Linked DNA regions of Anolis sagrei. The protein of the gene in region 1 interacts with the protein of each later gene in a pairwise test. Links are inferred from orthologs where the notes say so. Each region holds a gene or a part of one and is shown on either strand. Other genes may lie near its edges. The genes, in order: CCDC172 and FAM13C.

Region 1 (15,741 bases):
TAGCGGAAATGGTCCACATTTTCTAATGTTACACCATTAAGCTGTATCTCTGGCATTGGAGAGGGGACGGCTGGTGACTGCTGGAACAGCACTTTGGTTTTCTCGATGTTCAGTGACAGGCCAAGCTTTGTGTATGCTTCTGCAAAGGTGTTGAGAGTGGCTTGTAGATCTTCTTCTGTATGCGCACAGGCGACATTGTCATCAGCATACTGGAGTTCTATAACAGATGTTGTTGTGACCTTGGTTTTGGCTTTCAGTCTGCTGAGGTTAAACAGCTTGCCATCTGTCCGATAGATGATTTCCACTCCGGTGGGAAGCTTCCCATCAACAAGGTGAAGTATCATAGCGATGAAGATGGAGAATAAAGTTGGGGCAATAACACATCCCTGTTTGACACCCGATTCCACCTTAAATGGGTCACTTTGGGAGCCATTGCTGTCCAAGACTGTTGCCATCATGTCATCGTGGAGGAGCCGCAGGATGTTCACGAATTTGCTTGGGCACCCGATTTTGTGGAGGATGGTCCAGAGAGCGCTGCGATTCACTGTGTCGAATGCCTTTGCAAGGTCGATGAATGCCATGTACAGCGGTTGATTTTGTTCTCTGCATTTTTCTTGGAGCTGTCGTGCAGTGAAGATCATATCCACGGTTCCTCTGGAGGGGCGGAAGCTGTTCTGGGATTCTGGGAGGGTGTCTTCTGAGAGGGGCACAAGGCGGTTTGCAAGGATTCTTGCGAGGATTTTTCCAGCAGAGGTTAGAAGGGTGATACCTCGATAGTTTCCGCAGTCTGTTCTTTCCCCTTTTTTGTAGAGGGTGATGATGGTGGCGTCCTTGAAGTCTGCTGGGAGTTTCTCGGTCACCCACACTTTTTCTATGAGCTGGTGGAGTTGGTGTGTCAGCGCAGGTCCTCCCTCTTTAAAGATTTCAGCAGGGATCCCATCCGGTCCGCTGGCTTTGTTGTTCTTTTGTTGGCTGATGGCATTGCTGACTTCTTCCAAACTAGGCAGTGCTGCAAGCTCATCCCTGGTTTGTTGTTGCGGGATTTGTAAGAGGACCTCTTCGGCCACACTGGAGCTGCGGTTTAGGAGGCTTTGGTAGTGTTCTTTCCAACGTAGTGCAATTGACTTTTGGTCCTTCAGGAGTTTGGTTCCGTCTGATGAGCATAGAGGCTGTATGCCATGGTTTCTTGGTCCATAGATGACCTTTGTGGCTTTGAAAAATCCTTGAGCATTATGGGTATCTGCCAGGTGTTGGATTTCTTCGGCCATCTTTGTCCACCAGATGATCTTGAGTTCTCTGGTCCTTCTTTGGACCTCAGCTTTTGCACTGGCGTAGATCTTTTTCTTAGCAGCACAGTTGATGTCTCTCTGCCATGTTTGGAAGGGTTTCCTTTTCTTGTCGTATCATTTCTTGTTGTATCATTAAGGAGCAAGGATTGAGCTCCCAGAAACTCTTATCTATAACATATGGCGTATCTTTCCCCCCACTTTCTAGAGGCGTAGTATTCAGGGATGTTCAAACAGGATAAAACAAATGAGTTAAATTATACATGCTGGAACTTATTAAAAGTGGAAGATTATTGTGTGACTGTTTCTACATTATAAGCGAAATCGATTTCACAAATATACAAGCAGAAATTTAAAAAATTGGCTAAACACTCCTTAATCCCCTGCTATTTTAGACACTTCTCAGATATAATAACATTTAGACTGGATCTACATTGTCATATAATCCTGTTTCTGAATCCAGATTATCTGCTTTGAACTGGATTATGTGAATCTACACTTTCATATAATGTGGTTTGAAGCAGATAATCTGGATTCAGAAATTGGATAATATAGCAGTGTAGATGTGGCCTTACATAAGAGACGTGTAACATGGACGATGAAAGCAGCAGCTCCCCTGGCGGCCAGAAAAAAGTTAAATAGCCTCTGTGTATTGTCTGTATTCGTTGTCTGTCAAACTGGCATTGAATGTTTGCCATATATGTGTATACTGTAATCCGCCCTGAGTCCCCTGCGGGGTGAGAAGGGCGGAATATAAAAACTGTAAATAAATAAATAAATAAATAAATAAATAAATCATCTACACTGCTGTATAATCTGGTTCAAAGCAACTAATATGGATTCAGAAACTGGATTATACGGTAGTGTCGATGGGGCTAAAATGATGTTACAAGTCTCTTATGAAGGAAGTAAGGGTATAAACAGAATCAAGAATCACAATAATAAGGGCAACCTTCACAGAAGCATGTGAACATCTTGGCCTTTCACTTAACATCAAGAAAAGTGTTCTACTAGCAGGCACAAACCAATCTTAATGGTTAAGGCTAGAAAATGTTGACCATAGACCTTCATAGTCACATATAGATCCACCACCAAGAATCTACCTCTTGAAGACAATAGTATCTGGCCACATGTGATTGTCCATGAATAATGACAACAAAAATAATATCAACAGAGAGGCTTGATTCTCTAAATGCCCCTCTTTAAAATGCAAACAGCAAGTATACTAAAGCAGGTAGAGTCCTATCAATTGTTGGTTGAACTACCACTCACTTTCATGAATATCTTTTGCAGGAAATATGAATGCCACTCCTTTGTGCTAAGCACAAAAAAGCTGTCATGAAGAAATGCGAATATTATCTGTCCCCAGACAATTGAGCTTCTTTTCTGTTGCTCAGCAAGTAGAGATACCATGGAGTTTGTTCAGGGCAATTTATATGTGCCTGAGATTAAGAAGGGGCTTCGGAGATGGAAAGCCAGCAACTTGTCTGAACTTTCCAAAACTCTTGCATGCAAAATGACTGACCTTGCTGACACCCAGGAAGAGCTTAATTTTGGGAGCCTTGAAAATAGACAGGGTGGTTAAAAAGGAAAGGAAATACTCTGCACCTTGACTGATGTAAGCTATCCTTTCTGCCAAGGAAGAGATTACCATCACTGATATCATCACAGAAATTGTTGAAATATGCTGCCCAAAGATTATTGGAGTTTATGCTGTCTAAGCAAACAGTCAGTATAGGATTCTGCCCTAAGCCCAATATATCCTTTAGAACAGCATTTTTTAAAAGAGGGAAACTTGAACCTTGAAAGGCAAAATGCTATAATTCAAGTTCTAATTATATGGTGCCTAGGTTTTTTGGAACACGCCAACATTTATATTTCCTGGGTGCATTTCATTGACCACAACTAGTCTCTGTGAAATAGATGTGAAAAGCTCTTTGAACTCAAATACATAGCTTATTTTTCCTCTTTTCGATGCCCCTGTGTTTACAGATGTGGGATTGCAAGGAACACATGAAAATGTAGAGCAAAGTTTATAGAGGAATTTGAAAAAGGCATATAGGATGTACTGGAAATCAGTCACAACATATATACTATAGGTCATTAAAGTGAACAGCTTATATGTTTCTGTACTAAACACATAGTAGTAAGTGGTAATAATTTTAACAACACTGAGTATTTATTGTGCAGGTAATACATATTGGTTTTTCCCAAGCTTGCAAAGTGCAAAGTCTTCAGAAAAATAAATTGAGACTAACCAAACATGGAAGTTAATAGGCATTGACCTTCAGGTAATTAATTATGTAGTTTTAAGACCATAATTGGTTTAGAAATGCTTTTCTACCTCTCCCTATTAGTAACTCACAGTAATTATTCCCACACATTCATGACCCTATATAGCTACTGAAACTGTTAATTAGAGTGAGTCAATTGCAAAATAGCAGCAAAGGAATAAAATTATGATTGTCACAAATTAGTTTTACAAGTAGTAACACAATGAACTAAAGACAATGCGATTGTTGTTCTGTGACCTGGACCTACCACTATGTCTGAGGTCAGGAAATGAGCAGGGTGTCAAGCTGACACAACAAATACTTTTGAAAAGTTCTGTAAATTATGTATTTCTTTATGAAGTCAACCTTCCTTTTACATTAGACAGTGGCTTGCTTGAAAAATAAAGTTTCTAAATAGAACTTAGGTTTGTCTATACCACTGCTTCCTAAACTGTGGGTCCTGACCCCAAATGGTATTTCCTTAGCTCAATGTTGGGGTCTCAAATTTTTGGCCATAGTAAACATTTTCTGAAAGTCATCTAGTGGCTGTTTAATTACCTCATCACATGCAGAGAGAGAAGTGCCTTCTGCCTGCTTCTTTCCACTGCCAGTATGGAGTTCCCCAGGAGACCATCACATCACGTGGGGCTCCATGCCAGCAGAGGAGCCAAAAAGGAAGCAGGGGACAGTGGGGAAACATAGTGGGAAGGGGTACCATGGACCCCAATGGTAGTGAAGAGGATGAAATTTGCTAACAAAACCAAATAAGGTTAAGAAGGGAGGGGAGAATTTGAGAAGTTGAAAAGAAAGAAGAAATTCTCTGCTAGCCAAAAGAGCAGCACAGCAGGAAATGAAAGTGGGGAAAAGGTTCAAGAGGAGGACTTTATGACCTAGAGAGAAGGGAAAGGGAGTACAGGAATGGGGGAAGAGAGGGGGAAATGTTGTGGATAAGAAGTACCGAGAAAAGGACAAAGGAAGCCAAGACAGATGTGAATGGGGGGAAAGGCTTGCATGCACATGTTTAGAAATGTTAGAAACGTCTACTATAAAAAGGTTAAGTTACTTCTCAGCTGCGTGGCACTATTTTTTTCTGTTGCTCACCCAATGATTTTGCTCTCCAAATTAAAGATATGGCATTTTAATTTCCATGCCTATAACTTCTGATTAAAACATAGATACTAGGGGTTTGGTGGGCACCAAGTCTCAACAGTAGGGAACACAGCGAGGCAGTTCTCTACGCTACCCCATGATTTCCCCCACTGTCCCCCACTTTACAGTGGGCCAACTGATAAGGTCCTTAGACATTTACATGAATCTGTTGTGCAGGGTTTACAGTAGACTCTGCAGAAGATGCTTCAGCTATACTTCATTCAAAACAGAAAAATAAGCCTGTTTAGCAAGCCTTGAATGTTGATTTGTTATCAGTAAATGTTTGGTTTTTATACCTATATTATTTACCAGTGTTCTTGGGGTGACGCAAAAATTTCTTGGGCCGAAATTTCTTAAAATTCCAGAGTAATCCCACACTTCAGGGTTAGTTTGGACAGAACCATCTCTAAATCAAGCCAGTCTGCTGTCTGTATAGGCAAACACTGCCATTTCCTTTTTCCTAGTCCAGGTACACTCACAAAATGTGATGACTCTGGCCCATATCATTCTTTCATTGCCACAAGAGATGACCACGAAGGTCAGAAGAACTCCTAACTATCTTGGATTATGTGGCATGTGTAAATGCACCCTTAGACAAATGAGATAAGACATGTTGCTCCAAGAACCAAAGAACAACATTTTCAAAACAAGAAAAACCAGAGAGAAAGCAGAAATGTTACATTAAGGCAAGTTGTTCGTTGAATTGAGGCATGGGCAAATTGTCTGAAGTTTGTCAAAAATTTGTTCAGAAACTATTACCCCCCCCCCCCCCCCCCCCCCAGATCGGGAAAGTATCTGATCATTTTTCTATGCTAGTTTTATAGGGCTTATTAAAAGTACTTGCCCAGACAACACTTCCTCACAAAATAAGCTAATGGGACCCAAACGATTACATAGCTTTTATGGAAAAAGAGGGGGAGGTTTATTCACATTAAGATTGTGGATTCCTCGCTATGTTTTCTATGTTATTGTATTAATGCAGTTCTTGATGTGAAGAATTTTATTTTTACGGCAGTGTAAATAGAACATGAATGGAGAACTTCAATAATCTGTGTATGCTCAATGCTCTGCACAAAATACAGATTTTTAAATAAAAAATAATAATACAAACTTTCTAAAATATTAGTTGTACTTCAGAAATTCCAAGAAAGAACTTTCTGCCTGAAATGGACCAGCAAATGAGGAATACATATTGGAAAGCACAGCTCATATGGACACACAGTATACTAACGTATATGAGCTTTGTTATTTCAACCAAGTCAATTAATCTGATGTAATAACCATGGTATTGTCCTACCTCTTCTTCAAGTTTTATTTTTGCTTCATCCAGTTGTTCCCTTAATATTTTAGCTTTTTCATGTCCTTGTGTAATTTTTTGTTTAACTGAAACAAAAAAGAAGTCTACGTTATGAGGGTTTAAGTTGTCTATTTCATACCTTCACTTCAATATTTGTATGATTAATTTCATCACTCGGAAAAACTTTGTTTGAAAGGATTGCACAATGGTTACAAATGTATTAACTGCAACTCTTTTAGTTTGCCTTCAGGCCCCTTCAGGTCCCATGTTCCAGGTTTTCTTTCTGCAGTCACTTTGACTGAAAGACTATCCAGTCCACACTATAAGTACATGTTTGTACATTCATAACACTGTGTAACAAAATTTGAAACAAATTTTGTTCCTAGTTTGAAAGTGTTATTTCCTGTTTAATTGTGCAGTTCTTATTTTAAAATTAGTTGATATACTCCAGAAACATCATTTTTGTGGCTATCACAAACTGCATTGAATTGGTTGAAACTCTATGAGATGTTCATTGAAAAACTATAGCAAAATGTGCTTCAGGATGTCCTGAGAAAGCCAGGTTTTTGCAGTTTAATAAGCTTTTCCATGTTTGTATGACAGAACCAATTAGGAAATGACATTTATAACCCAGAAACCAGAACTCTTGTCTGTTTGAATTTGGAAGTTCCAGAGGAGTTTGACGTGTTCATTTTCTGTAACTTTTTCTGGCTTGTGATCCCACCAGTTCTTTGTCGCAGGCAGATGGCACAGGTTCCAATAAATCATCTGAACAACGGTGTTATGCCTCTGCTTGTAGTCTGTTTGCGTGATCTTCTTGCAGCAGCTGAGGATGTGATCTATTGTTTCATCTGCTTCCTTGCAGAGTCTACATTTGGGATCTGTCGTTGACTTTTCAATTCTGGCTTTGATGGCATTGGTTCTAATGACTTGTTCTTGGGCTGCCGGAATCAGGCCCTCCATCTCCTTTTTTTCAAAGTTTTATTTGTGAGCCACTTCCATGTTTTTCCTTTGTCAATTTGGCTCTCAATTTTTCCCAGGAACTGTCCATGGAGAGACTTCTTTTGACAGTTTTCTCTATTGCTCTGGATTGTGTTTTTATGGTATTCACTCTTTGTCTTTTGCACTTGAAGCAGTTTACTACTATTGACTTCCCTCAATGTTGGTATTATTGTTGTTGTTGTTGTTATTATTATTATTATTATTGACTAGCCGTCCCCTGCCACATGTTGCTGTGGCCCGCATGGGGGTTCTGTGTGAGAGGTTTGAGCCAATTCTATCGTTGGTGGGGTTCAGAATGCTTTGTGATTGTAGGAAAACTATAAATCCCAGCAACTACAACTCCCAAATGTCAAAATTCTATTTTCCCCAAACTCCACCAATGTTCACATTTGCGCATATTGAATATTTGTGTAGAGTTTGGTCCAGATCCATCGTTGTTTGAGTCCAAAGTGATCTCTGGATGTAGGTGAACTACAACTCCAAAACCAAAGAACACTGTCCACTAAACCCTTCCAGTATTTTCTACTGCTCATGGGAGAAGTGTGTGCCAAGTTTGGTTCAATTCCATCATTGGTGGAGTGCAGAATGCTCTTTGATTGTAGGTGAACTATAATTCCCTGCAACTACAACTCCCAACTGAAAAAAATCATTTTTTTAAGTGAAGGACATAAATTGGGTTGTTAAGTGTCTTGTGACCAAATTTGGTGTCAATTTGTCCAGTGGTTTTTGAGTTCTGTTAATCCCACAAACGAACATTACATTTTTATTTATATAGATTTCCTAAATGCAAACAGTGTTGTGCAGATGAGTAAGGTTTACATTCCATTTTAAGCTGCCTATTTAGCAATGGGTGGTGCAGTACTGGGAAACAAAACAACCCCCAAACTCAGCACGACTGGAGAAATGAATTAGCTTTATTTTAAAATGGCTAATGACAGGCCTCTTTAGTTAGACATCCAAGCCTAAAATGACAGAAGATGGCGGCCAACCTTGTTGCAAGAGGCGCCGTTTCTCCCCTGCCTTTTGTTCTGTCAGGAGGATTTGCTGAAACAAGGAGTCCAGGCTCATTTTTCCTCTGACTGTCCTTGGAGAATATATCTATATGTGTGTGTGTGTGTGTGTAAATACCATATATGTATATATCTGTGTATGTAAGTGTGTATATGTATATGTGTGTGTGTGTATCCTAATATAAAGAAGGAAAATGGGCCCAGGTTACTCCAAAAGTTGCCCTGTTTCTCTCAACTGAACCATCCCCTCCTCACACAATTTCTGTCAGTAAACCAAACTGAGAGGAATTTGGACAGAACCATTTTGGACTCTAGGGGGGATCCTATTATATGCCCCTTGTAAATAAATTAAAATATGTGACACTTATTAAACTAGAAATTGGAAGAAATAGATTTAATCTACTCTCTCTCTACTATGGAGTAATCTATTGCATACAGGGAGCTTTTTAGGAGGGCAATAATACAAAAGTTATGGTTTCTTCACCCACAACTTGAAATGGTACAGTTCGGCATGAACCATTTATTGCACACTCTTGAGGAATACTGCAGGCTTTTCCAAGATTGAAGTTTCCAGATGTGTTGGACTACAATTCCTACCATCCCCAAACATAACTTTCTGCGGTGATGGGAGTTGTAGCCCAGCACATCTAGGAGGTGCCAAGTGGATGAAGGCTATTTGAATATTAGGGATGAAATACAAAATTGGCACTGAGGGTGCATCTGCACCAGGCCTGGGCAAACTTGGCCCCTCCAGGTGTTTTGGGCTTCAACTTCCACAATTCCTAACAGCCTCAGGCCCTTTCCTTTTCCCTCAGGCCCCTTCCTTTTCCCCCTCAGCCGCTTAAGCCCCCGTCCGGTCAGCCTCACGTCGATACCGGGCAAGATTCTGGAAAAGATTGTTAAGGAAGCGGTCTGCAAACACTTAGAAACAAATGCAGTCATCGCTAATAGTCAACATGGATTTATCAAAAACAAGTCATGCCAGACTAATCTGATCTCTTTCTTCGATAGAGCTACAAGCTGGGTAGATGCGGGGAATGCCGTGGATGTAGTGTACCTGGATTTCAGTAAGGCCTTCGACAAGGTCCCCCATGACCTTCTGGCAAGGAAACTAGTCCAATGTGGGCTAGGCAAAACTACAGTGAGGTGGATCTGTAATTGGTTAAGTGGACGAACACAGAGAGTGCTCACTAATGCTTCCTCTTCATCTTGGAAAGAAGTGACAAGTGGAGTGCCGCAGGGTTCCGTCCTGGGCCCGGTCCTGTTCAACATCTTTATTAATGACTTAGATGAAGGGCTAGAAGGCATGATCATCAAGTTTGCAGACGACACCAAATTGGGAGGGATAGCCAATAGTCCAGAGGACAGGAGCAGAATTCAAAACGATCTTGACAGATTGGAGAGATGGGCCAAAACTAACAAAATGAAGTTCAACAGTGACAAATGCAAGATACTCCACTTTGGCAGAAAAAATGAAATGCAAAGATACAGAATGGGTGACGCCTGGCTCGAGAGCAGTACGTGTGAAAAAGATCTTGGAGTCCTCGTGGACAACAAGTTAAACATGAGCCAACAATGTGATGTGGCGGCAAAAAAAGCCAATGGGATTTTGGCCTGCATCAATAGGAGCATAGTGTCTAGATCTAAGGAAGTAATGCTACCCCTCTATTCTGCTTTGGTTAGACCACATCTGGAATATTGTGTCCAATTCTGGGCACCACAATTCAAGAGAGATATAGACAAGCTGGAATGTGTCCAGAGGAGGGCGACTAAAATGATCAAGGGTCTGGAGAACAAGCCCTATGAGGAGCGGCTTAGGGAACTGGGCATGTTTAGCCTGAAGAAGAGAAGGCTGAGAGGAGATATGATAGCCATGTATAAATATGTGAGAGGAAGCCACAGGGAGGAGGGAGCAAGCTTGTTTTCTGCTTCCTTGGAGACTAGGACGCGGAACAATGGCTTCAAACTACAAGAGAGGAGATTCCATCTGAACATTAGGAAGAACTTCCTGACTGTGAGAGCCGTTCAGCAGTGGAACTCTCTGCCCCGGGAGTGTGGTGGAGGCTCCTTCTTTGGAAGCTTTTAAGCAGAGGCTGGATGGCCATTTGTCAGGGGTGATTTGAATGCAATATTCCTGCTTCTTGGCAGGGGGTTGGACTGGATGGCCCATGTGGTCTCTTCCAACTCTTTGATTCTATGATTCTATGATTCTAGGGGAAAAAGGAAGGGGCCTGAGGGAAAAGGAAAGGGCCTGAGGCTGTTAGGAATTATGAGAGTTGAAGTCCAAAACACTTGGAGGGCCCAAGTTTGCCCTTGTCTGATCTACATTGTAGAATTAATGCTACCCCTTTAACTACCATGACATAATGCTATAGAAACATGGGAATTGTAGTTTTACAAGGTCTTGGACTTTCTCTGCCAAAGAGTGCTGATGCCTCACCAAACTACAAATCTCAAAATTCCATAGCACTGCACCATGGCAATTAAATGGGTGCCAAACTGAATTAATTCTACAGTGTATATGCTATGCACCCTAAAAATCCCAATTCTGGTCCAAAATTGGCCTTGCTGAGTTCAATAGGGCATAATCCTATGGAAGGGTGTATAGAATTGCAATCTAAGGCCCCTTCTACACTGACATATATAATCCAAATGATCTGCTTTGAACTGGATTATATGGCAGTGTAGACTCATCCAATTCAAATCGGATAATCTGGATTATTTGCCTTGATAATCTGGATTATGCACAAGCCCCTTCTACAAAGCTGTATAAAATCCACATTGAACTGGATTATATGGCAGTGTGGACTCAGTTGAAGCAGATATTTTGGGTTATCTCATGATATTCTGGGTAATATGGTTGTGTGTATTCTCTGCTTTTATATGTATTTGACCCATCTCAAATCCGTTTTGGGGGAAAGGTAGGATGTAAATAAATGTATTAACAATAAAAACATATTTTAAACACCAATATTTCTACCAACTGCAGGTGGCAGCAAGCATCCTTTTTGTCTCAAGAGTGAACATCATCTTCAACAGAAGGTACAGTATGTTTGTTTATTTATTTATTGTAGAATCATAGAATCATAGAATCATAGAATCATAGAATCAAAGAGTTGGAAGAGACCTCATGGGCCATCCAGTCCAACCCCCTGCCAAGAAGCAGGAATATTGCATTCAAATCACCCCTGACAGATGGCCATCCAGCCTCTGCTTAAAAGCTTCCAAGGAAGGAGCCTCCACCACACTCCGGGGCAGAGAGTTCCACTGCTGAACGGCTCTCACAGTCAGGAAGTTCTTCCTAATGTTCAGATGGAATCTCCTTTCTTGTAGTTTGAAGCCATTGTTCCGTGTCCTAGTCTCCAAGGAAGCAGAAAACAAGCTTGCTCCCTCCTCCCTGTGGCTTCCTCTCACATATTTATACATGGCTATCATATCTCCTCTCAGCCTTCTCTTCTTCAGGCTAAACATGCCCAGTTCCCTAAGCCGCTCCTCATAGGGCTTGTTCTCCAGACCCTTGATCATTTTAGTCGCCCTCCTCTGGACACTTTCCAGCTTGTCAATATCTCTCTTGAATTGTGGTGCCCAGAATTGGACACAATATTCCAGATGTGGTCTAACCAAAGCAGAATAGAGGGGTAGCATTACTTCCTTAGATCTAGACACTATGCTCCTATTGATGCAGGCCAAAATCCCATTGGCTTTTTTTGCCGCCACATCACATTGTTGGCTCATGTTTAACTTGTTGTCCACGAGGACTCCAAGATCTTTTTCACACGTACTGCTCTCGAGCCAGGCGTCCCCCATTCTGTATCTTTGCATCTCATTTTTTCTGCCAAAGTGGAGTATCTTGCATTTGTCACTGTTGAACTTCATTTTGTTAGTTTTGGCCCATCTCTCTAATCTGTCAAGATCGTTTTGAATTCTGCTCCTGTCCTCTGGACTATTGGCTATCCCTCCCAATTTGGTGTCGTCTGCAAACTTGATGATCATGCCTTCTAGCCCTTCATCTAAGTCATTAATAAAGATGTTGAACAGGACCGGGCCCAGGACGGAACCCTGCGGCACTCCGCTCGTCACTTCTTTCCAAGATGAAGAGGAAGCATTAGTGAGCACTCTCTGTGTTCGTCCACTTAACCAATTACAGATCCACCTCACCGTAGTTTTGCCTAGCCCACATTGGACTAGTTTCCTTGCCAGAAGGTCATGGGGGACCTTGTCGAAGGCCTTACTGAAATCCAGGTACGCTACATCCACGGCATTCCCCGCATCTACCCAGCTTGTAGCTCTATCGAAGAAAGAGATCAGATTAGTCTGGCATGACTTGTTTTTGATAAATCCATGTTGACTATTAGCGATGACTGCATTTGTTTCTAAGTGTTTGCAGACCGCTTCCTTAACAATCTTTTCCAGAATCTTGCCCGGTATCGACGTGAGGCTGACCGGACGGTAGTTGTTTGGGTCATCCTTTTTTCCCTTCTTGAAGATTGGGACCACATTGGCCCTCCTCCAATCTGCTGGAACTTCTCCCGTTCTCCAAGAACTCTCAAAGATGGTTGCCAATGGTTCCGAAATGACTTCCGCTAGTTCCTTCAGTACTCTTGGGTGTAGTTGATCTGGCCCTGGGGACTTGAACTCATTAAGAGCGGCCAGGTATTCCTGGACGACTTCTTTCCCAATTTGGGGTTGGATGTCCTCCAATCCCTCATCCACTCCATCTTGCTGAGGTTGAAGACTCTCTTTTTGTGAGAAGACCGAGGCAAAGAAGGCATTAAGTAGTTCTGCCTTTTCCCTATCCCCTGTCAGCATTGCCCCATCTTCTCCTCGAAGAGGTCCTATCGCCTCCTTGTTTTTCCTTTTTCTACTGACATAAGAATAGAAGCCCTTTTTATTGTTTTTAATGTCCCTGGCAAGTCTGAGCTCGTTTTTTGCTTTAGCCTTGCGGACCTTTTCCCTACAGGTGTTGGCTATTTGTTTGAATTCTTCTTTGGTGATTTCTCCCTTTTTCCACTTCTTGTGCATGTCTCTTTTGTGTCTTAGCACAGTTAGAAGTTCTTTGGACATCCATTCTGGCCTCTTTGCACTTGTCCTATTTTTTCTCTTTGTTGGCACGGTTTGCAATTGCGCCTTGAGTATTTCACTCTTGAGAAGTTCCCATCCATCCGTAGCTCCTTTGCTTCTAAATGCTTACTAAATATCTGTGGCTGATGATCCACTGAAATCAATGAGATATGGTACATAACTTTAATCCTGTTGATTTTAATTAGACACAGAGTGCACTTACATTGTAGAATGTATGCATTTTGCATAATTAATACAGTTCGACACCACTTTAACTGCCATGGCGCAATGCTATGGGATTCTGGGAGTTGTCGTTTGAAAATTTCACAGCATTAAGCCATGGCACTGAAACTGGTATCAAATTGCATTAATTCTGCAGTGTAGATGAACCCACAGAATTCTGGGAGTTTGTTGAATCACTCTGGCAAGGGACTGTGAATTGCTAATATGAGGATTTTATAGGATGTTTCCATGGTAGTTAAGGTGAAAGCATATAATGATATGACTGTAGGCCTTTCCACGCAGCCATATATCCCAGAATATCAAGGCAGATAATCCACAATACCTGCTTTGAACTGGATTATCTGAGTCCACAAAACCATATAATCCACTTCAATGTGGATTATATGCAGCTGTGTGGAAGGGGCCTGTGTTAGTGTGAAAGAGTCTTCTATCAGGTTGGATCTACACTGCCATATAATCTAGATTATCAAATAAAATAATCCATATTACCTGTTTTGAACTGAATTATTTGAAACCCCTTCTACACTGCCATATAAAATCCAGATTGTCTGATTTGAACTGGATTATCTGCCAGTTTGGACTCATATACTCCAGTTCAAAGCAGATAATGTGGATTATCTGATTTGATAGTCTGGATTATATGGCAATGTAGAAGGGGCTTTAGTATATATTGCCATATAATCCACTTCAAAACAGAAAATCTGGATTTTATTTAGCAGTGTGAATGGGGCCATGGAGTTTGCGCTGTGGTTGGTTTATCATCTCATCTGGTAATAGATGGTTTCCTTTCTCTCCCAAGATCCAACAAACAAGGGCTTGTTCTGTGCATCATTCTTTTGTGTGCTGGAAGGGAACAAACCATTAGCTGCTTACTGCCAACCATAATAAATTAACTATATAGCAAAATGATGATGCATTGGCTTGATTTATCATGTGAATCTATCCTATACGTATTATTTTATACACAGATAGGAAAGTTAGTTGAGAGGCATTAACATAAATGGTAATATGCTAAGACATCTCATTTCAAATGCATTTATGTTAGAAGGGGGGAGATTAACTACTGTCTCTATGTTAAATTGCCATTTAAATTTAAAGTAAATGGCTATGCTAAAACCCTTATCTGAATGAAGTTCAAAAAATGGTTTCCATGAGATAACATCCTCCTGTTCTGAGTTTGAGAGAGATGTCTGAGTTTGTGAAAACATTTGTCAATTGACTGTACCCCTAAACATTTCTCTTGTTTTCACTTTGTCCCTTTCTTACAATCTCAATTTTCCTTGAAAGACAAGGAGCTGAATATGTACTGAAATGCACTGAAGTTCACAAACGTAAGGGGTCTGGATTTTGTGGTGTGAAGTTTTTAGGTATGGAAGCATTATTTCCATACATGTGATATAAGAAGCACATGCATGATTTCTAATTCCTGGACAGATTCTTTCGACAGGAGCTTAACACAGGCCCCCATCTACACCGCCATATAAAATCCAGATTATCTGCTTTGAATAGTAGTATAGACTCAGTTCAAAGTAGATAATTTGCATTATCTACTTTGATAATTTTGATTCTATTCTATTCTATTTATTTGCGAAGGGGACTCAGAGCGGCAGTGTAGATCAAGCCTCAGTCTGTCACACAGAGCAAAGGACACCCAGATTAGCTGAGTGGCAGCCAAACTACACATGAAGCTTGTTTGTTTTAAAGTGGGCAGAGCTGTTTGTTTGTTTGTTTATTTACTATACTTGTATACAGCCCCTCTCAGCCCGGAGGCGACTCAAGGCAGTTTACCTAAAATGCAGTAGAACCTGCAGGTAATCTGACTACCCAACATAACAATCAAAGTGCAAGGCAGTACTATCAATGATTCATCATGTTGACCATGGATTACTCAGGATCAAAGGCCTGTTTGAAGAGCCATGTTTTAGACTCACCTGGAAGGCCTGAAGAGAGGGGGCTAATCTAATTTTTTTAGGGAGGGTATTCCAGGGCCATCAAGAAAGCCCTCTCTCTCCTTCCCACCAACCGTACTTGAGAGAGTGGTGGGACTGAGAAGGGCCTCCCAGGCAGATCTTAACACCCGTGCCGGTTTGTAGAAGGAAATGCAGTCTCAAAGATAGGTTGGACCCAAAACGTATAGAGTTTAATAGGTAATCACCTGCACTTTGAATTGGGCCCGGAAACTTGTCAGGAGGCAGTGGATTTGCTTTAAAAGGGGTGTGGTATGCTCCCTAAAGCTCACCCCAGTTAATAACCTGGCTGCCACCATAGTAGTCAAAGTGGTGTCAAACTGCATTAAGAAAGAAATGGGAGCAGGATGGAATAGAGTTAGAGTCAGAAAATGTTTAAGAACTAGTTAGATGAAAGGGAGCAGTCTGGATTTGGGAGCTAAGAAGTAGAGAGACTTCAGAGGAATGTGTTTC
Region 2 (16,769 bases), about 40 Mb from region 1:
GGTAAATGTTAAATAGAATGGTTGTCCATATTTGTGTGAGCTTCTCAGAGGTATTCAAATCTGTTCATTACTCTAAAGCAGTGTTTCTCAACCTTCCTAATGCCGAGACCCCTTAACACAGTTCCTCATGTTGTGGTGACCCCCAACCATAAAATTATTTTCATTGCTACTTCATAACTGTAATTTTGCTACTGTTCGGAATCGTAATGTAAATATCTAAGATGCAGGACCAAATTTGGCACAAATAGCTGATATGCCCAAATTGGAATACTGGTGGGATTGGGAGGGAGTTGTTTTTGTCATTTGAGAGTTGTACTTGCTGGGATTTATAGTTCACCCACAATTAAAGAGCATTCTGAACTCCACCAATGATGGAATTGAACAGAACTTGGCATACAGAACTCCCACAAAAAACAGAAAATACTGGAAGGGTTTGGTGCATATTGACCTTGAGTTTTGGAGTTGTAGTGTGTAGCCTGTTGTCAACCTTTGCAACCCGAAAGACAGTTGCATCTGTCAAGTAGGAAAATAAGGTACCACCTTAAAGTGTGGGGAGGCTAAATTAACTGATTTATGAGGCCATAAAGAAGACTCCAGCAAAGCATTCCAGCGGGGAAGCATACGGGGAATGCAGAAGTGCTTCATCAGCCTCGCAGATGAACGATGAAAGCGACAGCTCACCTGGCGGCCAGAAAAAAGTTAAATATAGCCTCTGTGTATGTCTGTATATGTTTGTATGTCAAAAATTGGCATTGAATGTGTGCCATATATGTGTACACTGTAATCCGCCCTGAGTCCCCTGCAGGGTGAGAAGGGCGGAATATAAAAGTTGTAAATAATAATAAATAATAGTTCACCTGCATCCAGAGAGCACTGTCAACTCAAACAATGATGGATCTGGACCAAGCTTGGCATGAATACTCAATATGCCCAAATGTGAACACTGGTGAAGTTTGGGGGAAATAGACCTTGACATTTGGGAGTTGTAATTGCTGGGATTTATAGTTCACCCACAATCAAAGAGTCCCTTGAATGCCACCAATGATAGAATTGGGCCAAACTTCCCATGACCAACAGAAAATACTGGTGGTCTTTGGTGACCCCTCTGACACCCTTTCGTGACCCCTCCAGGGGTCCCGACCCCCAGGTTGAGAAACACTGCTCTAAAGAGGATGCTGGATTCAATAAGCTGGATTTCTTTATTTGCATAACCAAAACATAGGTAAATATGGTTGGGGGCAGGGGGCACCAAAATACTGTTTGCTTACCGTTGAAAATTACCTAGGGCTGCCTCTGTTCAAACTACATAGAATTTTTTAAAGTGTCAGAAACATATAAGGAACAATTACAGTATCTGCATCTTTCCAGTTTAGAGTGGAAAAGCAGCTGGAGGAGAAGCATCATAGGGGTTCAAAGGATTAGGCACAGTGTATTAAAGTTTGTCACCCCCTGATAATTCTAGAACACACAATTGCCTAATGAAAATTAATCAGCAGGAAAGTCGGGATAGATAAAAGGAAGCATTTCTTTATATAACACAGAATTAATTTATGGAATCCACTGCCACAAGATGAGCCACTAACTGCTAGTCTAGGGAATTATGCAAATCATTTTATAATAGTAAAGAAGAAAGTGAATCACCACACTTACACAATCATGAAATTTAGACATCTAAAATATGGTGTATATAGTAGGAAGATTCAGGCAGTATTAAATAGCCTAACCATGCCTAGTGTGTAGCATAGGGAAGGGTTAACAAGGGTTAACAACCCTGTGGTAGGGCTGGGCAACCACGAAAAATTTGTTTCTAAACTCGATTCGTTTTTTGGGGTTTTTTGCGTTTCGATATTTAAAAGAATTCCGATTTTTTTCTTTACAAAAATTACGAAACAATACGAAACGAATACGAAACGAATACGAATCGATTCGTTAATGGCGGATGCGACCGCGCAATACACTAAAAAACCTCCATATGGGACAGGGGGAACTTCTGAAGCTTCCCCCTCCCTCTGTTGTTGACTGTTGGTGTGATATTTATAAAAAAATTTCACTGATTAAACAAACAACAGCTATAAAACTTGCCCCGGACATGCGAAAATAATAACGAAACGATTTCGAAATGATTTCGAAACGAATACGAAACGAATACGAAGCAATTACGAAACGAATTGAAAAATTCGTTTCATTTTTTAGATGCTCCTGAATGGTTCGTTATCGCTTTGTAACCAAAAAAATTACGAATTTTTAACGAATTACGAAATTACGAAACGAAACCGCCCAGCCCTACCCTGTGGTGTTTATGTTGCCATCTCCGCCCCTATTCAGAAGATTACCTTGTTGTAGAAACAAGAACCGATGATAAGACTTCAGTGGAGACACCTTTCCCCCATGATAGCTCTTTCAGAAATGAATTTCCCATCCTAGGAGTTGATTTCTCTCACTTTCTGTTGTCTCACCCCTGTAAATTTGACTTTTGTAACTCTGTGCCTGTACACAAATCAGCAAAGCTGTGATCAAAGGACACATATGAACTGACTATATCATTCCTTCAAACTATAGCAACTACAAAAACTCACACCACCAAAGGGAGGAACACAAAAGGACCAGAACAGTAGAGTTAGGCCTTCATTAAGGGCAGGGGGAAAGTGGGAAAGTACCATGCCTTCCTCAGACTCTTCCCTATATCTTGCATAGACATAGCTAACAAGGGCACTGCAAAAATGACTTATGTAAGGAGCAGTAATTGAGTTGAACACTTTTAGAGTAATCCTAGGCTTGGAGTACAGCAGGGATGTCAAACTCATTTTCACTGAGGGCAACCTCAGCCTTATGGTTGCCTTTAAGGGGCCATTGAATCCATGCATGGAGAATCCATGGATATGGATAGTCAACTATCATTGTTTTGCATAGTGGTTGGTGCTCTTTTGTTTTTACCCAGCTTGGGTCCCCAGATGTTACTGAACAACAACTCCTATCACTTTTGATTATCCGCCATGCAAACAGGTAATGATGGGAATGACAACCAAACAGCATTTGTGTGTCTGTGGTTGGGGAGAGGTTAAAAGGCATTTTAAAGTCTGACATCATATCCACAAGCCTTGTATCTCAATTAAAACCACACTCTTCTAACTAAAATTAACAAACTGCAGCCTTCCAGGTGTAACTGTATCACTTATCAGCTCTAATCATGATATCTAATGATGAGGAATATAGTAGCTGTAGTCGAGCATCTGGAGGGTCACATGAAATTATATTACGGGCCAGATTTGGCCCATGGGTCTTGGCACATGTGGTGTAGAGGGTAATCTACAAAACACACGGCATGTTGAATGATCATATTATCACAATTTTTAGTTTGGGAGGGAAATTCTAATAATTTCAACCTTAAAACATTTAAAGTCAACACATGTGCAGGGAAAATAAGAAACACTGTAGGGACATACATTGTCACACATACCGAATATTTTGGATTTATTTACTTGCTTTGTGGGAAGATACTACTTTGAAAGCTAAATGATACACTATGTTAGGCAAAGATGAAAGGCAAAGATACAGAATGGGGGACACGTGGCTAAAGAGCAGTATGTGTGAAAAAGACCTTGTGGTCCTCGTGGACAGAAAGTTAAACATGACTCAACAATGTGATGCAGCGGCAAAAAGCCAATGGGATTTTGGCCTGCATCAATAGGAGCATAGTGTCTAGATCTAAGGAAGTAATGCTACCCCTCTATTCCGCCTTGGTTAGACCACATCTGGAATATTGTGTCCAATTCTGGGCACCACAATTGAAGAGAGATATTGACAAGCTGGAATGTGTCCAGAGGAGAGCAACTAAAATGATCAGGGGTCTGGAGAACAAGCCCTATGAGGAGCGGCTTAAAGAGCTGGGCATGTTTAGCCTGAAGAAGAGGAGGCTTAGAGGAGACATGATAACCATATCCAATACATGAGAGGAAGTCATAGGGAGGAGGGAGCAAGCTTATTTTCTGCTGCCCTGGAGACTAGGATGTGGAACAATGTTCGGCAGTGGAAGTCTCTGCCCCGGAGAATGGTAGAGGCTACTTCTTTGGAAGCTTTTAAACAGAGGCTGGATGGCCATCTGTTGGGGGTGCTTTGAATGCAATTTTCCTTGGCGGGGGTTGGATTGGATGGCCCATGAGGTCTCTTCCAACTCTATGATTCTGTGATTCTATGTAGGCCGCATTCCAGCAGTGGCCATAAGAATGAAAATCCTCTTCATTTATTTATTTTATTTATTTTATTTCCACTCCTTTCTACAGAGCTAATCAGTCTCACCCCTTCTGGTACTAGTGTTGGAGAGTGGTCCCTGGTCAAAGTGGGCACCAGTCAAAACAAGGTTGAGAACCACTGCTTTAAACATGAGGAAGAACTTCCTGACTGTGAGAGCCGTTCAGCAGTGGAACTCTCTGCCCCGGAGTGTGGTGGAGGCTCCTTCTTTGGAAGCTTTTAAACAGAGGCTGGATGGCCATCTGTCAGGGGTGATTTGAATGCAATATTCCTGCTTCTTGGCAGGGGGTTGGACTGGATGGCCCATGAGGTCTCTTCCAACTCTTTGATTCTATGATTCTATGATTCTATTATTATTATTATTATTATTATTATTATTATTATTATTATTACTTCAGGTATGATGGTGATAAATCCTACCATTCTGGCAATGGAAAATGCACTTGTCTCATAAACAAATGCATAAACAGCTTTCCTTTCTGCTGATCTCAGTGAAACCTTGTATTTTCTAGTTCCAAAAACATAACAGCTTGAAAAGGGGGTGGGGGACTAGACCACAATGTTTCATGTGGCATAAATACTGTTAAGAATCACAAACACCACCAATAGACTCAGGAGAAAATATTACACCTGAAGAGAAAGCAAGAGCACTACATTGTGTGTAGACAATAATGTGTTTGTGTGTATCTCTATCTCAATAAAATATAGGTAGTTGTGTACACGTTCAATATGCGCTATCCAGAACGCCAAAAATAATTGTTCACATGGATGGCTGTGATAGTGAAACCTTTCTGGTGGTTTGGTGAATACAAACTGTGTTTCATGTGCAGCATCATCTTACAATGTTGTGCCGTAAAATATATTTCTATGGTGTCTGTGAAACATAAATGACTTTGGGTTGTTGTAGGTTTTTCAGGCTATAGGGCCATGTTCTAGAAGCATTCTCTTCTGACGTTTTGCCTGCATCTATGGCAAGCATCCTCAGAGATTGTGAGACCTCATAACAACCCAGTGATTCCATCCATGAAAGGCTTCGACAATACATAAATGACTTGTGAGGTCTTACAACTTCTGAGGATGCTTGCCACAGATGCAGGTGAAACGTCAGGAGAGAATGCTTCTAGAACATGGCCCTATAACCCGAAAAAACCTACAACAACCCAGTGATTCCATCCATGAAAGCCTTCGACAATACATAAATGACTTGTGAGGTCTCACAACTTCTGAGGATGCTTGCCACAGATGCAGGCGAAACGTCAGGAGAGAATGCTTCTAGAACAGCGTTTCTCAACATGGGGGTTGGGACCCCGGGGGGGGGGGGGTTCTGTGTGGGAAGGTAGGCCTAATTCTATCTTTGATGTGGTTCACAATGCTCTTTGATTGTAGGTGAACTATCAATACCGACAACTACAACCCCCAAATGTCAAGGTCTATTTTCCCCAAACTCCACCAGTGTCCACATTTGGGAATATTGAGTATCCATGCCAAGTTTGGTCCAGATCCATCCTAGCTTGACCCTTCTAGTGTTTTCTGTTGGTCAGGGGTGTCCTGTGTGCCAATTTTGGTTCAATTCCATCGTTGGTGGGTTTCAGAATGCTCTTTGATTATAGGTGAACTATAAATCCCAACAACTACAACTCCCAAATGACAAAATCCTAATTTTTCAAGTGATGGTCATTCCTTGTGTTGTGAAACATTTTGTTGCCAAATTTGGTGTGATTTTGTTCATTGGTTCTTTTATTTTTAAGGTACTCATTATGCACAGAGCATTTATATATATATAGATATAGATATAGACAGGGGCGGCTCATCCATTACGCGAAGTAAGCGGTCGCAGAACACTTTTTTTTGCCAGGGGCGCAGAGGTGCCTCAGTAAATGCCCCTCAACCGCCACTTGAGGAGCGCCCCCTCAGCTCGCAACAGCCCTAGCAGTCCAGGGGGAGCCTCAGCTTATTGCCTCGCTGCCGGGCGATCCTCTTCCCAAAGGGGCCGGGCCCTTGAGCCTCGCCTAGCCCCTCTCGTTCCTGCTCCACCCGGCCACCGGGTGCGCGAGCAGAGCCGGCGCTCAATCGTTCTCCGCGTTCGATCCCTTCCCCATGACCGGCTCCCTTTCCCGATCCCCCGGCGCTCCACCCGCCTCCTCTCCTCTCCCCAATCCGCGGGTGTGCCAAGGGGCGGAGCGGCCGCGCCTGGCCCACTTTGGGTCCGGAGGCGTGTCTGAAGACCCCAGCGTGCGCACCAAAAGTTGCCTCTTCTCCTGACTTTCTCTTCAGCCATTAGGACCAAGAGAGAGAGAGAGAGAGAGCCCCTCCGGCTGGAGGTATCTCCCACCTCCGCTCTCTCCTTTGTTTTTGCGCCTACCTTCAGGGAAGGTGGGCATCTCCACCTCTCTCTCTCTCTCTCTTGGTCCCAATGGCTGAGGAGAAAGTCAGGAGAAGAGGTGACTTTTGGTGCACACGCCGGGGTCTTCAGGCACGCCTCTGGACCCAAAGCAGGCCAGGCAATGGAGCAAGTGCGGCAAGTGTAGTTACTAGGATGTATAGTTCACCTACAATCAAAGAGCGTTCTGAACTCCACCAATGATGGAATTGAACCAAATATGGCACACAGAACTTCCACGACAAACAGAAAAAATATATATCAGTGATTGGTTGGGGGGGGGGGGTGCGCCAAAATACTGTTTGCTTACTGTTGAAAATTACCTATATAGATATATAGATATAGATCAGTGGTTCTCAACCTTGCTAATGCCGTGACCCCTTAATGCAGTTCCATATGTTGTGGTGACACCCAACCATGATATTGTTTTTGTTGCTATTTGATACCTGTCATTTTACTACTTTATAAATCGTTATGTAAATATCCGATATGCAGGATGTATTTTCATTCACTGGACTAAATTGAGCAGAAAAACCAAATATGCCCAAATCTGAATGCTAATGGGGTTGGGGGAGGATTGATCTTGTAATTTGGGAGTTGTGGTTGCTGGGATTTATAGTTCACCTATAATCAAAGAGCATTCTGAACTCCACCAATGATGGAATTGAACCAAACTTGGCACACAGAACTCCCATGACGATTAGAAAACACTGGAAGGGTTTTGTGGCCACTGACCTTGAGATTGGGAGTTGTAGTTCACCTATATCCAGAGGAGTGCTGTGGATTCATGCAATGATGGATCTGGACCAAATTTGGCATGAATACTCAATATGCCCAAATGTGAACACCGGTGGAGTCTGGGGAAAATAGGCCTTGATTTTTGGGAATTGTAGTTATTGGGATTTATAGTTCACCTACAATCAAACAGCATTCTGAACTCGACCAACAATAGAATTGGGTCAAACTTCCCACACAGAATCCCAATGACCAACAGAAAATACTATGTTTTCTGATGGTCTTTGGCGACCCGTTTGACACCCCCTCACGACCCCCTCAGAGGTCCCGACCCCCCGGTTGAGAAACACTGATATATATCAATGATTGGTTGGGGGGGGGGGCGCCAAAAAATACTGTTTGCTTACTGTTGAAAATTACCTATATAGATGTATAGATATAGATATTCAAGCATGTCTCGCTCCCTTCCCTGCCACGAACACACTCTGTCCACTCATGTAACCAAACCCAGTGGCTATCGAAAAGATCATGCACATACTGAAGCCTTGTACACTGGATATGTTTGTGGGGTTTTTTTTCCGATGGGTATTGTGAGTTCTTCCCTCCTGCTGGCATGATGGCTGGCAGGCTCTTAAAAAAGCCTGGCACCCTCCTTACTCACTGCCATGCCTCCTTAATGGCATTTCAAGGCTGGTGTGTGTGTTTTCCCCCTCATTGGTTCCAAGAAGATGCCCTCAAATGTCATCTCAAGGTGCAAAGCCATGCAAGTGAATGTAAAGGAGGCATTTCAGAGAGATAGAAAGACAGAGAGAGAGAGGTTGCAGGCATTGTGTGCCAATTCAGGCAGGTTGATCATTCAGGGAAGGTATAATGGTTGGCTATTGGGAAGGAAGGAAGGAAGGAAGGAAGGAAGGAAGGAAGGAAGGAAGGAAGGGAGAGAGGCTTGTCTGCCTTTCTTTCCCTGCCCAGCCCCCAGCAGAAGCCCCTGGTTGCGCTTGGAGCGAGCAAAGCAGGCACTTACTCGGGCAAAGCAGCCGGGCTGTTGAAGGAATGGTTCTGGAGGCTGAAGCAGAAGCAAGAAAACATCGGAGGCAGATCAGCAGGGCTGGCGGGCGGGCGGGCGAGGTCTCGCTGGGTGCTCGCTCTTCACGGCATGGCAAGGGGAGCGGGGATGGCAAAGGGAGGAGGAGGAGGAGGGGAGGCGGCAGGCAAGGCAGGGATGCGCGGCTCCTCGGAACCCTGGCCTCTTCTGCACATGCTCGCCGCCCAAGGAACCCCCGGGGAGGCAAGGCTGGCCTCCGAACCACAACGCCCATCAGGCATTGCTCCCGCTTTGGCTCCGGCCTTGGATGCTGATGCTCTTCCTGCACGAGCCCAACTCCAAAGCAGGGAGGGAGAAGAGCACTCCAGGCCAGACACACCAAGGGCTGGGTGGGAGCAAGCCTGTCGCCCGATGTATTTATTGCTTCTTCTTCTTCCTTTTGTGTTAATTCTTTATATTGGGGCCAGATTATCCAACCTAATTCTCTTCTTTGGCAAGAAACCCATAAAGGTGTCTTTGTTATAGAATCTACTAGCTGAACCCGCCACGCGTTGCTGTGGCCAACCTTCCCTCCCTCTTTCTCTCCTCCCTTCCCTCTTTCCTTCCTTTCCTCGTTTTCTTTCCCTATCTCTCTTCTTTCTTCCATCTCTACCTGTTTCTTTCCTCCTTTTCTTTGCTCTTTGGTTACATACTTCCTTCCTTCCCAGAGGCGGCCCTAGGTAATTTTCAACGGTAAGCAAACAGTATTTTGGCGCCCGCCCTGCCCCCCCAACCAATCATTGATATATATTTTCTGTTTGTCGTGGGAGTTCGGTGTGCCATATTTGGTTCAATTCCATCATTGGTGGAGTTCAGAATGCTCTTTGATTGTAGGTGAACTATACATCCCAGTAACTACACTTGCCGCACTTGCTCCCTTGCCTGGCGCGCTTTGGGTCCGGAGGTGTGCCTGAAGACCCCGGTGTGTGCACCAAAAGTCACCTCTTCTCCTGACTTTCTCCTCAGCCATTGGGATCAAGAGAGAGAGAGAGAGAGAGAGAGAGAGGTGGAGATGCCCACCTTTCCTGAAGGTAGGCGCAAAAACAAAGGAGGGAGCGGAGGTGGGAGATACCTCCAGCCGGAGGGGCTCTCTCTCTCTCTCTCTTGGTCCCAATGGCTGAAGAGATAGTCAGGAGAAGAGGCGATTTTTGGTGCGCACGCTGGGGTCTTCAGACACGCCTCTGGACCCGAAGCGGGCCAGGAACGGCGGCTCCGCCCTTTGGCCCACCCGCGGATCGGGGAGAGGAGAGGAGGCGGGTGGAGCGACGGGGGATTGGGAAAGGGAGCCGGTCATGGGGAAGGGATCGAACGCGGAGAACGATTGAGCGCCGGCTCTGCTCGCGCACCCGGTGGCCGGGTGGAGCAGGAACGAGAGGGGCGAGGCGAGGCTCAAGGGCCCGGCCCCTTTGGGAAGAGGATCGCCCGGGAGCGAGGCAACAAAACCAAGGCTCCCCCCGGACTGCTAGGGCTGTTGTGAGCTGAGGGGGCGCTCCTCAAGAGGAGGTCGAGGGGCATTTACAGAGGCGCCTCTGCGCCCCTGGCAAAAAAAAAGTGTTCTGCGACCGCTTACTTCGCGTAATGGACGAGCCGCCCCTGTTCCTTCCCTATCTCGGGAAGGTGGATCTGGCCAGGGTGGTCCATGCCTTAGTCACCTCTAGATTGGACTACTGTAATGCGCGCTACGTGGGGCTGCCCTTGAAAACGGCCCAGAAATTCCAACTGGTTCAACGGGGGGTGGCCAGGTTAACTGGTGCTCCTTACAGAGAGAGGTCAACCCAGGCATGTAGCCAGGGGGGGGGGCTCGGGGGGCTTCAGCCCCCCCCCCAAATTTTCATGGTGGTTCGCGAAAAGGCCTTACTGGTGCATTATTTAAACTGTTATGTTTATTCATATCATGATCTGATCACCATACTTAATATATCCCATATGCATGGGGGTATTGGGGTAATGATACAAAAGGTTTGCTAGGCTAGACCCTCTTTCACTCAGACTCAGCCCCCCCCCGAAACGCAGCCCCCCCGAAACCCCCCCTGAAAAAAAATCAGCCCCCCCCCCGAAACGAAATCCTGGCTACGGGCCTGGGTCAACCCTCCTGTTTAAGAAGCACCATTGGCTGCCATTCATTTTCCAGTCCCAATTCAAGGTGCAGGTGCTTACCTACAAAGCCCTAAACAGTTTGGGACCCGCCTACCTTCGTGACCGCATCTCCATATATGAACCCACACGATCTCTCAGATCATCTGGAGAGGCCCTACTCACGATCCCACCTGCATCACAGGCGCAATTGGTGGGGACCAGGGATAGGGCCTTCTCTGTGGTGGCCCCCCACCTCTGCAACTCTCTCCCCAAGGACATCAGACAAGCCCCAACATTGGCAGTCTTTAGGAGGAGCTTGAAGACATGGTTGTTCCAGTGTGCCTTCCCAGAATAGGAAACTCCAAGCATCATATCCCTAAATGCACTTTACTAGAGATTTACAATTGTCTGCACATTGCACCTATCTCCAAAAACCTATCTATTTCACCTGCCATGCCCAGCATTTTAAAAAAATTTAATCATTACATTGGCCCGGCTTTGGTTTTTAAATGTGTCGTGGTATTATTGTCTATTGTTATTTGCTATTGTTTTAATGTTTATTACTGTTTTGTGAGGTTTTTTTTGTTGTATTTGTGATGCTGCTGTTTTTGTGATGTTTGGGCCTCGGCCTCTTGTAAGCTGCACCAAGTCCTTCGGAAGATGTTAGCGGGGTACAAACAAATGATGATGATGATGATGATGATGATTATCTTTCGTTCCTTCTCTCCTTTCTTCCCTCTCTTTTTCCTTTCACTTTTTATTTCCTTCTCTCCTTCCTTGCTTCTCTATATTTTTTTCTTTCCTTCTTTCCCTCCCTCCTTCTCTCCTTCCTTCCTTTCCTCTTTCCCTCCTTCTCTCGTTACTTCTTTTTTATTTATTTATTTATAATCTTTATTCAGTTTTCAAATACAGTTAAAAAAAATAAAAACTTTGTAGCGAAGGCTACTAGTAAAAGAGATATAGGGTATGTGTATATATCAGTTCCCCGAAATATGAAATGATATAGTGACCAAAAGATAATAGACAAGAGAGACAGGAGAAATAGAGAGATAGCAGGGGAGGGAAGAGAGGAGAAGTGTAGCCCAAAAGCCCCATATAAGACAATAATAACAAGAAAAAAAAAAGGTTTCTTGCTTTCGACTTCCCGAGGTTTTCATAGGGTCCTCTTTGTCGTTCATCCAAACCTCCTCCTCTTCTCCTTCCCTTTCTTCTCTCCTTGTCTTCTTTCTCCTCTTCTTCCTTTCCTCCAACTCTTCTTCAATTATATCAGGATTTTTTTGTTCCTTTGCTTAAAATAACCCGTCACTTTTTCCCAGTTTGTTTCCTTCATTTTTATTCCTTTACTTCTTGTTATCAAAAATGTAAGCCAGTCCATATTTCTTACTTCCAAGATTTTTGTGAGTCTCTCATTTTCGTCTGGCGTATCTTCCTGCTTCCATCTTCTAGCATAAGTTATCCTATCCTTCTCTCATTACTTCTTGACTGTCCCTTCCATTTAATATTGTATTTATATCTTACATAGAAAGAAGGAAAGGAAGAAGGAAGGAGGGACATGAAGGAAGGAAAAAGGAAGGGAGGGAGGGAAAGAAGGGAAGGAAGGAAAAGAAAGAAGGAGGGACAGGGAGGGAGGAGAAGGAAGGACGAAGGAAGGAAGGAGGGAAAGAAAGGAGGGGAATGAAGAAAGGAGGGAAGGAAATGAAGGGGAAGGAAATGAAGAAAGGGAAAGAAGAAAGAGAGGGAGGGAGGAAAAGAAGGAAAGGAAGAAGGAAGGAGGGACAGGAAGGAAGGGAAGGAGGGAAAGAAGGAAAGGAAGGAGAAGGAAAGAAGAAAAGGAAAGAAAGGGAGGAAAGAAGGGAAGGGAGGGAGAGAAGGAAGGTCCTTCATTCAAGCACCGTGGCCAAGTCTGGTTTCTCAAGGCACATCATCCCCTCAACCCAAACAAGTAAAGGATAAAGCACATTGCATAAACATATTACATAAACATATAAAATAAGCATAATAAATAATGACATTTATCACCATTAAAAATCCCCGGGCCTCAGGCCACTGAGGTTGTCCTTAAAACATTATGCTAAAAAATCTTGAAGCTCTGAATCTTTGGCTGTGTAAACCTTGCCAAACCAAGATAGCTTTAGTGTTGAGTCTTGGCAATAATCACTAGTTGCCTAGTCATAGCTTAATATCGGTTGCTGGTGAAGGCCTCCTTCTAAGATTTCAACCCAAATGGTTCAGCAGATTTCCCTGGTGAACCTACTCATTTCATGTACAAGGTGCACTCTGTAAGTACAGTGTAGTGTTTGAAGGATAAGTTGGGGGTAAAGGTGGTCATCAGAAGCTTGGTGCATTGGTTGCTAAACCATTTGTGCAATGGAAAAATGCATTCGAAGTCTTCAATAGCCACCAAAAACGGAGTACCATCAGAACAACTTGTGCTTGGCTGAAAACTTCTTGCTAATTCACAGTGGAAAACATCTTGATGATAAAGGTAATAAGAAGAAAGCAGAAGAAAACAGAAATAAAACTTCTGCCAATTGTGGAAATTATTGTCCTTTGTGGCCCACAAGAACTGGCTTAAAGAGGGAACAATGATTCAGGACCAGTTACCAGAGGAGGGCGACTAAAATGATCAAGGGTAAGAGAAGCAATGAGAAAGGGGGCTTGTGGAAGCTTCATTAAGACCAGTTGTTTGGCCTCTTTGCCCCATTCCTCAAAGACAAAAAGGCAGGGGAACAAGAAGAGGCCAGTTCTCCACACACATCACCTTTAGCAGGGCAGCAGTTTGCTAAACTTGAGATTTTGGAGGAAGAGGAGGAAAGTCTAGAAGGCATGATCATCAAGTTTGCAGATGACACCAAATTGGGAGGGATAGCCAATAGTCCAGAGGACAGGAGCAGAATTCAAAACGATCTTGACAGATTAGAGAGATGGGCCAAAACTAACAAAATGAAGTTCAACAGTGACAAATGCAAGATACTCCACTTTGGCAGAAAAAATGAAATGCAAAGATACAGAATGGGGGATGCCTGGCTTGAGAGCAGTACGTGTGAAAAAGATCTTGGAGTCCTCGTGGACAACAAGTTAAACATGAGCCAACAATGTGATGTGGCAGCAAAAAAAGCCAATGGGATTTTGGCCTGCATCAAGAGGAGCATAGTGTCTGGATCTAAGGAAGTAATGCTACCCCTCTATTCTGCTTTGGTTAGACCACATCTGGAATACTGTGTCCAATTCTGGGCACCACAATTCAAGAGAGATATTGACAAGCTGGAATGTGTCCAGAGGAGGGCAACTAAAATGATCAAGGGTCTGGAGAACAAGCCCTATGAGGAGCGGCTTAGGGAACTGGGCATGTTTAGCCTGAAGAAGAGAAGGCTGAGAGGAGATATGATAGCCATGTATAAATATGTGAGAGGAAGCCACAGGGAGGAGGGAGCAAGCTTGTTTTCTGCTTCCTTGGAGACTAGGACGCGGAACAATGGCTTCAAACTACAAGAGAGGAGATTCCATCTAAACATGAGGAAGAACTTCCTGACTGTGAGAGCCGTTCAGCAGTGGAACTCTCTGCCCCGGAGTGTGATGGAGGCTCCTTCTTTGGAAGCTTTTAAGCAGAGGCTGGATGGCCATTTGTCAGGGGTGATTTGAATGCAATATTCCTGCTTCTTGGCAGGGGGTTGGACTGGATGGCCCATGAGGTCTCTTCCAACTCTTTGATTCTATGATTCTATGAAATTGAGGAAATTTGTGCTACTTGATGAACCTTTCCAAATGGGATAATCACCATAAAGACCTGTATGCTTTTCACTCTGATTAATCCGTCCTAAATGGTCACTGATGAAGTCCTCTCCATGTTTTTTACACTTCTGTTAAATTTCACATCCCACCCACTCACTTCTTATTGTATATAAATGCATTTAAAGAAGTGGGCTGCAGTTCACAAAATCGTGTGTCCGTTAAAAACACTGTTGTCGTTAAGGTGCCACACGTGTCTTTCTTCAACTCGTTCACCCAGAAAAGAGGGGTCAAAATTGTAATATTGTTGAACTCCAAATCCCAGCATTCCCAATTATTTATTTATTTATTTGCCACACTTTTATCCCGCCCTTTTTATCCCAACTCAGGGCGGTATACAGACTGGCAACAATTAGATGCCGAACATGCATAAATACATCATTTAAAACAGGTTAAATCACATAATAAAATTCATATTAAAACAATTTAAAACTATTATAGCTATGCTGGCTGGAGTGATGGGAGACTACAGAGCCTTGGAGGCACTGTACACCAAAGCATGACAGTGGGACATTCAGGTTTTCTTCTAATACTTTAAAGAAGCTATCCAAAGTGCTGAATCCTAATGCCCAAATAGGTTCACCAGACTGGTTAGCTGCTATTCAATCCCCTCCTGATATGGGATCCACCGCCCATCACTGGTCAAGAGGACAGAGATTTCCTTCCATCTCTTAACAAATAAGCCATTGGTTTATATTTATATTACAACTAGAATTCAACTGTGGAGGAATTAAATTCTTGCACTGCTCCTTAAGGTGGTTTGATTCATATGATTGTTGAAAAACAAGGCTGCACAGCCTGGGACAGTGATTTTCATGCATAAGATCTTTATACAAAATTGCACTGTGTGTCCAGTAATCGTGTTCCCTGAATCTACAATTTGGTGATGGATCTGGGCATTGTATGTTTTTACCCTGTTTCCCCTTCTGCTCCCTCACCCATATTGTGTTTTTAGTAGTTGTATTTATATTTTTAATGTACCAAACATGCCAGGTTTGTATGGAAATGTGACACTATTTCCTGTGCTGGTCAATGACCGAAATAAATGTTTTGATTTGATATACAAAATTGCAGTATTTGTTTGTTTGTTAGTTTGTTTTCTTCCATAAAACAAGAACTGTGTTTTTTTAAAAAAAAAAAAGAGAAAAATTTTGTCCTTTTCTTTTGACATCCATGTGATCCATCAAACAGGGGGAAATTCTCAAATAAAAATGTTTCTTCCATGTTGCTATAGAATCAAAGAGTTGGAAGAGACCTCATGGGCCATCCAGTCCAACCCCCTGCCAAGAAGCAGGAATATTACATTCAAATCACCCCTGACAGATGGCCATCCAGCCCCTGTTTAAAAGCTTCCAAAGAAGGAGCCTCCACCACACTCCGGGACAGAGAGTTCCACTGCTGAACAGCTCTCACAGTCAGGAAGTTCTTCCTCATGTTCAGATGGAATCTCCCCTCTTGTAGTTTGAAGCCATTGTTTTGTGTCCTAGTCTCCCGGGAAGCAGAAAACAAGCTTGCTCCCTCCTCCCTGTGGCTTCCTCTCACATATTTATACATGGCTATCATATCTCCTCTCAGCCTTCTCTTTTTCAGGCTAAACATGCCCAGCTTCTTAAGCCGCTCCTCATAGGGCTTGTTCTCCAGACCCTTGATAATTTTAATCACCCTCCTGTGGACACATTCCAGCTTGTCAATATCTCTCTTTAATTGTGGTGCCCAGAATTGGACACAATATTCCAGGTGTGGTCTAACCAAAGCAGCATAGAGGGGTAGCATTACTTCCCTAGATCTAGACACTATGCTCCTCTTGATGCAGGCCAAAATCCCATTGGCTTTTTTTGCCGCCACATCACATTGTTGGCTCATGTTTAACTTGTTGTCCATGGGGACTCCAAGATCTTTTTCACACGTACTGCTCTCGAGCCAGGCATTGTCCCCCATTCTGTATCTTTGCATTTCGTTATTCCTGCCAAAGTGGAGTATCTTGCATTTGTCACTGTTGAACTTCATTTTGTCAGTTTTGGCCCATCTCTCTAATCTGTCAAGATCGTTTTGAATCCTGCTCCTGTCCTCTGGAGTATTGGCTATCCTTCCCAATTTGGTGTCGTCTGCATTTAGCCCTTCATTTAAGTCAGTGTTTCTCAACCTTCCTAATGCCACGACCCCTTAATACACTTCCTCATGTTGTGGTGACCCCCAACCAAAAAATTAGTTTCACTGCTACTTCATAACTCTCATTTTGCTCCTGTTATGAATCGTAATATAAATATCTGATATGCAGGATGTATTTTATTCACTGGACCAAATTTGGAACAAATACCCAATACACCCAAATTTGAATACTGGTTGGATTGGGGGAGGGTACTGATTTTGTCCTGTGGGAGTTGTAGTTGCTGAGATTTATAGTTCACCTACAATCAAACAGCATTCTGAACTCCACCAACGATGGAATTGAATCAAACT

The links.
Region 2: the proteins of CCDC172 (region 1) and FAM13C interact in binary tests that used the Homo sapiens proteins (3 or more experiments, as listed by UniProt). The two-hybrid records come from large-scale screens. The link is inferred for Anolis sagrei from reciprocal best matches to the Homo sapiens genes CCDC172 and FAM13C.

The regions. Positions count from the first base shown.
Region 1 is NC_090023.1:204,783,568-204,799,308, forward strand, and holds the start of CCDC172 (coiled-coil domain-containing protein 172), read right to left. Parts: upstream 8,076-15,741; coding exon 7,997-8,075; intron 6,092-7,996; coding exon 6,006-6,091; intron 1-6,005.
Region 2 is NC_090023.1:164,355,255-164,372,023, forward strand, and holds the start of FAM13C (protein FAM13C), read right to left. Parts: upstream 8,743-16,769; 5' UTR 8,450-8,742; coding exon 8,385-8,449; intron 1-8,384.